2 linked regions of the Macaca mulatta genome follow. The protein of the gene in region 1 binds, or shares a complex with, the protein of each later gene. Links are inferred from orthologs where the notes say so. Each region holds a gene or a part of one and is shown in the gene's direction. Other genes may lie near its edges. The genes, in order: SLF2 and SIMC1.

Region 1 (3,818 bases):
GGTAGAATTTTTTGTGTTTTTTTTAATGGAAAATACATATAAAATTTACCATTTTAACCATTTTTACATGTACAGTTCAGTGTACATGTAAAAATTAAGTACATTTATATGTTGTGCAACCATTACCACCATCTAGCTTCAGAACTTTTTCATTGTTCCAAACTGAAACTCCATATCCATTAAACAATAACTCCCCATTCTCCCCTTCCTCCCACCCTCAGCAACTACCCTTCTACTTTGTCTCTATGAAATTGACTGTTTTAGGTACCTCATGTAAGTGATATTATATTTGTCCTTTTATGACTGTCTTATTTCATTTAGGGCAGTGTCTTCAGAATTCATTCATATTGTAGCATGTGTCAGAATTTCCATTCTTTTTAAAGCTGATAATTCCATTGTATTATGTCTATAACACATTTTCTTTAGTCATCTGTCAGTGGACCTTTGGATTGCTTTTACTTTTTGGCTACTGTGAATAATGCTGCTATGAACATGGGTATACAAATCTCTCTTCAGGTCTCTCCTTTAAATTCTGTTGGGCATATATACACATAAGTGGACTTACTGGATTATATGGTAATTCCATTTAATTTTTTGAGGTACCGCCACACTGTTTTCCACAATGGCTGCACCATTGCACATCTGCACCAACAGTGAACAAGGGTTCCAGTTTCTCCACATCTTTGCCAACACATTATTTTTTTCTATGTTTTTTGTTTGTTTGTTTTGATAATAGCCATCCTAATAGTAAAGTGGTATCTCCTTATTGTTTGGTTTGCCTTCCCTAATGACTAATGATGTTAACATATTTTCATGTGCTTATTGGCCATTTGTTATACAAGTGGAGAAATGTCTTTTCAGGTTCTTTGCCTGTTTTTAATTGGGTTGTTTGGTGGGTGGGGGGGTTCACACAGGTAGAATTTTCTGAAATATTTCTATCAAGTTACTCTTTTGAGGAAAAAGTTTAGAATGATGATGGACACCGCTCTCCCCACACTGCCCGCCCACCACACACACACATGAGAGAGAGATCAAAAAGTTGAGAATCATAATGATCTTAATGAAATTTATGTGACTAATTATGGACAGGTTTTGCTAGTAAGAGGGGAAAAATATATTCCTTGTTAATTCAAGGAATGTCCTTGAACATACCCTGGAGAACTTCACTAACATCTTAGCTGACTTGATTACATAGAAGTTGGTATGTGCTACATATCTCAAATTTGATAACCAAGTAACTAACTTTAGGAATTTTTCAGATGATTAGTAGTTCAAAAGCTTCCTCCTTTCTGAATTTAATTAGAGAACTTGTCTGTATTGTAAAATTCTTTAAATATTTCATGAATTCTTGTGATCTGTGATATGGAATCTGAAGTTCCTCCTTTAAAATCGAGCACTTCACAAATGAAAGATAGGGGTACTAGTTTAATCAAATGATTGACCCTTTTCTGTAACGATAGAACAGTACATTTACTAGTTATTTACTCTTCAGCTGTACTTATCCACTGTTTGTGGCTGGGGTAAGAACCTTGTTTAAAATAACTTAATCTGGGAGAGGCAGTATAAGCAAGGACTCTGGAGCTAGACTCTCTGGCTATGAATCCCACATTCTTGCATTACAAGCTCTTGCAAGTTACTTTGCTTTTCTAATGTCAGTTTTCTTATCTATAAAAGGTGTATAAACTACTACATGGGGTTGTTGTGAGGGTTAAAAGAATTAATATGTAAAGCCCTTAGTACAGTGCCTGTCACATATTAAGTGCTTGGTAAGTGTTAGGTGTTGTGATGATGATGACAGTGACAACTACTGCTAGAAAGCCTAGTTAACTTACCAGGGTTTTTTTCCCATTCTGTAAGTGGTTTGGACAGATCATTCTTGAAGTTCTAGCTTTATGGAAATCCTCAAGTCTTTTATGCAATGGAACACTATTCTAATGCCACACTGGTAACTGGGTAAAAACCTAGCACCTAAAATATATCTGTTTTCATGAAAATTGTACATCATGATGTATTTGGGAGACATAATTTGACCTATAGTATAACAAAATTTGTCATATACCAGGGTACTTAATAAGGGTTTTCTTTGTGCTGCTTTTAGATATAAACTGAAGACTGTTTTTTAATATTCTTAAACTGTTATAACATTCTTTCCAATTCTCAGGCTAGATGAACTGCAGAAGCAACTACAAGAAGACATAAGGCAAGGCCGAGGCATTAAATCCCCAATCAGAATTGGAGAAGAAGACAGTACAGATGATGAGGATGGCCTCTTAGAAGAGCACAGGTATAGCATTTTTCATAATGTATTTTACCCTATTAAAGTTTTTACATTTTGTTTTGTTTTGTTTTTGTAAAATAAATGGGCCATCGATGGCTGTTAGTGAATAATTTATGATAGGTTTCTAATCTGTCTGTGATGGGTTTGAAAGGCAAATGTTAGGATCAAGTTTCATCTTTTATTTTTCTTCCTGGTTATTTCTTTTCACGTAGACACATTTAGTGGCTTTTGACTAACAGCTACAAAAAGTGGAAGAAGCAAAGCATACTTTTCTCATGCTAGTCTTCTAATTTGGGATTAACATTGGTTTAAAAAATAGTTTTCTTTGCACCCAACTTTTAAATACAAAAGTATATGTAGTGTAACAATTTGGTATTGATTGACTTGTTTTTATGTTTCAGGGAATTTCTAAAGAAATTTTCAGTTACAATTGATGCTATTCCTGATCATCATCCAGGTGAAGAAATATTTAATTTCCTCAATTCTGGAAAAATTTTCAATCAGTATACCTTGGATTTAAGAGACTCTGGTTTTATTGGACAAAGTGCTGTAGAAAAACTTATTCTTAAGTAAGTAGAAAAATAGACATTTTACTTTTATATGTATAAAAAATTACTCTAAAACACTTCTGACTTATATAATCTTCTAAAAGGTTAATTTCTATTATGACCTATTAAGTTTCCTAATCCTCTTATTACTAGTGATCTTTATGTTTTTTTCTTTAATTATAGGAAGCAGTGTAGGATAGTTGTTTGACACATCGCATGCCTTTATTAATTAGGATTGAGATCAGTATATAATAACAGTGACTGTCAAAATAATAGTGGTTTAAACAAGAAGTGTATTTGAAAGAAGTATAAAAGTAGCAAGTCCAGGGCTGGAGTGCCAGTTTTACCATATAATCTTTCTTCTCCAGCATTCTTAGCACCTAGCTTCGGGTGCTATTAGAGCTCCATCCTTTAGTTCAAATTCCCAGAAATTCCACACAGCATTTCCACACACTCTAAGTTAGTTGAATAGAACTTAGTCAATATGGCCACACTTGGCCACAAGGGAAGCCAGAGAGTGATGTTTATTTCAGGCAGCTAGTGTTCGCAGCTACAAATCAGGGTTCAGTTACCAAGAAGAGAGGGAAAAATAGATGCTGGGATGTGCAGCTAGTAATCTCCACCACAATGCCCAAACTGATCTAATTTCTCTCAGTGCATGATATCTCAGCTCTAGAGAGATCACATCAGTTTTGCTGCCAATTTTTTAAAGTACTTCCCCAGTCTGAGACTTGATAGGCTGTCTCTCAACACTACCAGCAAATATAGCTTTGTCTACCAGTTAAATATGGAGCCTAGCCAACAGATTGGATCAGCTTTAGGCCATCAATTCAATTTATTTTATGAGTAACTCATCCATATTTGTGTAGAGTCCACCTCCATGGACTGAAGACGATTTGCTTGCTCATTTCTCTGATTATGTCAGATGTGATGGTGGTGGTGGTGATAGTAGAAGTATTTTGCCATGAAGTTAATAGTCATGTTGATTTTAC
Region 2 (3,918 bases), on another chromosome or scaffold:
ACAGTATTTAGAGAGACCTGATAACCATTCCTTTGGGAACAAATCCCCCTCCTATTAAACACATATTCTTTGGATCTGTTAACATATTTGGCAAAATTGTTGGAGCCTGAGCAGCAGAATTTTGTCAATACCCCACATTTAGTGTACCAATAGGTCCTATCTTGATTTTAATGGTCCTGCCCTACAAGCAGCCAACTACCCACCGATTCCTCCACTAGTGACAACCTTTTTCACCTTTATAACTTCTGCTATTCACAACGTCTAATTATTCGTGGCCTCTGCTGCTTCATGGCTTCTTTTGTGCACCTTTTCAGCTTCTGATCCTCATACCAACTGAACAACTGTCTACGCCAAGCTTGTTTAACCCCTTGCCTGAGTCGCAAGCGGCCCATTAAAACATTATGAGATTCCCCCCCGCCGCAACTCTTTTCCTTTAGGTCATCAGCTATCATTAGTGTATTTTATGTATGGCCCAAGGCAATTCTTCTTCCCGGGGAAGCCAAAAGATGGGACACTCCTGCTCTAAATCTCAGTTTAAACTCCTGAGAGACACATATTGTTAGTGAAACCGCAAAACTGGTACAATTTAGGAGGATAATTTGGCATCATTTATCAAAACTACAAAAACATGGCATTTGCACCAGTAAGTCCACTTTCAGGCATTTATCCTACAGATGCACTTGCGCATCTGCACCAAAAAGTGGGGTCTGTCTCCCCTAGCTCGGCCAGAAGCCAGGTCACCCACCCTCCGTCACTCGGGGGCCAGGACTCCTCTCCCTGCCCCCTCAGTCAAGGCCCTCTCGGTCCGGAAGGAGCTTCACACCTGGGCTAGGTTGGGGCTGGGCGCGCCTCACGTCAGTTGGAAGCAGGTGGGGAAGTCCCCGCGGCCTCGGGGTCTCGTACGCCTGCCCCCAACACCGGCCGAAGCCAGTGGCGACTCCATTTTTCTTTTTTCTTTCTCTCTCTCCTGGGGAAGGGAGGACCCGCGCCGCCGCGAAGCACAGCGACCCCGGCCCTGACCCCAGCCGCCCGCCGCCGGTGGGCGGGGCTTGGCAGCCCAGCGGGGCGGGGAGGGGCGGGGCTCGGGGCGGGGAGGGGCGGGGCTCGGGGCGGGGAGGGGCGGGGCTCGGGGCGGGGAGGGGCGGGGTTCGGGGCGGGGCCGGCGTGGTGATGGCCCGGGTTGTCGCTGCCGCCGCCACCTCAGAAGCAGGAACCGAAGTCGCCGCCGCCGCTGCCGCTGCCTGGGTCGCCGGCCGCCCGCGCGCTGGCTCGGTCGGGGCCCGCAGCCATGGAGGACTTCATCGTGATCTCCGACGACAGCGGCTCCGAGAGCTCCGGGGGCGCCCGCCCGGGCCGGTCGCGGAGGCTGCGCCGGGCCCTGTCGCGGACCCCCGGCGCCCTGCCCCGCCGGACCGTGGTGAGTGAGCGTCGCCTAGTCTGGGGGCGCGCGTCTTCGCAACCCTCTGCTGGGCCCGCCGCCCCCTTCCCACCCCCTTGCTCCTCACAGCTGCAGCCACTTCCCGCCTTACCTCCTTCCGGGCCTCTCGGGCCCCGGGGAGCGCGGCGGGCCGGGGCAGGGACACGGGCGGCCGGGCCTCCCGGGCTCAACGCTGAAGCCCGAGAGGACTGCGGCTGGAAAGCGGGCGAGCACATGGACGAGCTCCTGGCGCGCCTGCTGCAGGGGCCGGGGTCTCAGGCCGGGGCCGCGGGCGTCCTCAGAGCCTCGGCGGGACGTGGGGGCTCGAGTGTACTGGCCCTGGCTGAGGCAGGAAAGCGGGAGCCCGTAATTGTTGGGCCTGTGGTGGGCACAGATGCGTGCAGGGAGGTAACAGGAGCCCAGGCTGGGAGGGAGAGAAGCGCGGGCCTGGGCCAGATGGTGGCCGCGCTCCAGGGCCTGACTGCAGAGCGAGGGGCCCGATTTTGAAGTTGTGCAGAAGGGCGATTTATTTCCTCAGCAAGCAATTACCCCGTACCAAGCCCTGAAGGAACAGAGAAGGAAACCTCGCGCACTATTTCTGCTTCCCCCAGAACCCTTTCATTTTTCTCATTCATGAGGTGGTGAATTATCTGCCTTTGGAGAATCCTGCATAGATGTTGATTGAATCCCTACTACGGACCGATGTTGCAGGGGCTGGGGCTACAACGGCGAACACAACATCCATGGTCCCCTCATAAGGTGATACATTCATCAGGTGGTTACTGAGGACCTTCTCAAGGGGTGGGAGGTGGAGCTTTTCTCTCAGAAGGCTTCCAGCGATCTCCCCAGCCTCCCAGAGCCGTCCCCCGGAAACACAAGGATTATCAAGCTGATGTTATGTGTATAGATCATACAGTTTACCATGCTTCCTATGCAAATACTCCTTCAAGACGTTTCCTAGCTTCTGCGGCCCCTGTTCCCTTTCCAGCTAGTTTACAGTCCCTAAACCTCCATTGGGTTTCTGTGCCCGAGGTACAGTGCCAAGTGCTAGACGATCACTATAGAATGAATAGCGTACAAAACTAGTTAATATATTTTTCAAAATATATTAACTAGTTAATTATTTTTCAAGCAAGAGGGATTCTCAGTACGTCTTAGTAACAAATTTAGTTGAGTTAGGCAGCTCATGAAGTAGTCAGAAGAGATTTCCAAGACAGAAATGACCCGACTTCATGAGTGAATGGGTATATCTAGGGCTGTCGCTGAATGTAGCGGACATAATGATGCACAATAAATATTTGTTGGATGAAGGAACGATTGAAAGAATATGGGGAGAGAGAATGGGTTAGATGGATGTTTGACAAGTATAAGAGAAGTGCATATAAAAGTAGCAGCAGGCTTGGGATGAAGGAGATGCTGAATTCAGGTGGGACCTGTTGGATTTACAGTGTTAATAGGAAATGTAGATGGATGTGGCCAGCTCAGTAGTTGGAGAAAAGGCAAGAGTGGAGATATTTGGAAGTCATGCAAACAGAAAGGAGTATTGAAGGCCTAATAGTGACTGAGATCATCAAGGAAAAGAGTAGAGAGAGAAAAGGTGGAAGGAAAAAAATACTGCTTTCCTCCTAGTTCTTCCTCATTCCTCTAGCCCCTTCTCTCAGTACCTGTTTAACTTTGTCCTTCTCACTTGCTTCCTTTCCTCCCAAGTGTTGTCCATTTTCCCTCGTTCTGGTCCAGCTTCTCTCTTCAGTGGTCGGATGCCATCGTTATCCTAGTCTTTTGTGGTCTTTCACACACGTACATGGGTGTGCTCTCTCACTGTTCCTCTCCCTTGTGACCACTCAAGCAAGCATTTTGATCTGGAGCCTTTGAGTTGAATCGAAATGAAGGGCACGTTCCAGAGAGCAGTACCCAATTTAAATCATGCTTCTCCAGATACTTATTCCAGCTCTCTAAAAGTTCCAAGCTTATTCTTGTTTTATCTTTTTTGCAAGTTAGATAAGGGTGGTATGATAACCATGTAAAAGATCAGAGGCATTGAGAGACTTACAAGGTTATAAAGTCTACAAGTGCCCTTTTTTCTGTAGCTTTTCCTGACGGCTCTGAGGTCAGAGAGGCTTCTGAATCAATATCTCCAACATAGCATAACTCAAACTCAACTATTTGAGTTTTGGAAAGTTCTGTCAGCTCTCAGCTTTTGAGCCTGAGAACATTAATGCTTACCTAGCAGGATGGTTTTAAATTTTTAATGAGACAAATGCAAGGAAAGGGTCTCATATAAATGATAGCTTTTGCCACTTTTTGTGTTGTTTCTAAGCCCAGGCCTGTCCCTCTTGAGCTTCACAGGCAGTGAGATAAAAGAAGCAACTTTCACATCTTTCTTTTTTTTTTTTTTTTAAATAAATATTGACTAAGGGAAAGTAACTTGCTTGAACTTAAGAAAGCCATATCTAATAATGAAGTTGACATTTCTGAACTCTTTATTCTTAACCCGGGCTTTA

Evidence for each region.
Region 2: the proteins of SLF2 (region 1) and SIMC1 are in contact, whole or in part, in a cryo-EM structure (PDB 7T5P), measured with the Homo sapiens proteins. The link is inferred for Macaca mulatta from reciprocal best matches to the Homo sapiens genes SLF2 and SIMC1. Residues at the interface, in NP_060591.3 of Homo sapiens: His738, Val772, Leu775, Lys778, Asp783, Phe786, Gln790, Gly791, Phe792, Thr794, Ser795, Ala796, Tyr797, His798, Tyr799, Cys820, Ile821, Gln825, Ser828, Met831, Glu832, Ile835, Arg836, Asp838, Thr839, Ser841, Asp842, Ser843, Pro847, Lys919; in NP_001295125.1 of Homo sapiens: Tyr426, Arg428, Leu431, Lys435, Leu438, Pro440, Val442, His443, His444, Leu445, Phe447, Gln448, Arg470, Arg471, Phe490, Asp493, Pro497, Val521, Asp522, Lys525, Glu526, Tyr528, Met529, Met532, Lys533, Gln536, Leu537, Arg571, Asn658, Gln661.

The regions. Positions count from the first base shown.
Region 1 is NC_133414.1:112,989,175-112,992,992, forward strand, and holds part of SLF2 (SMC5-SMC6 complex localization factor protein 2), read left to right. Parts: intron 1-2,161; coding exon 2,162-2,284; intron 2,285-2,679; coding exon 2,680-2,847; intron 2,848-3,818. UniProt on the Homo sapiens protein: Plays a role in the DNA damage response (DDR) pathway by regulating postreplication repair of UV-damaged DNA and genomic stability maintenance.
Region 2 is NC_133411.1:185,180,919-185,184,836, forward strand, and holds the start of SIMC1 (SUMO-interacting motif-containing protein 1), read left to right. Parts: upstream 1-1,197; 5' UTR 1,198-1,288; coding exon 1,289-1,417; intron 1,418-3,918.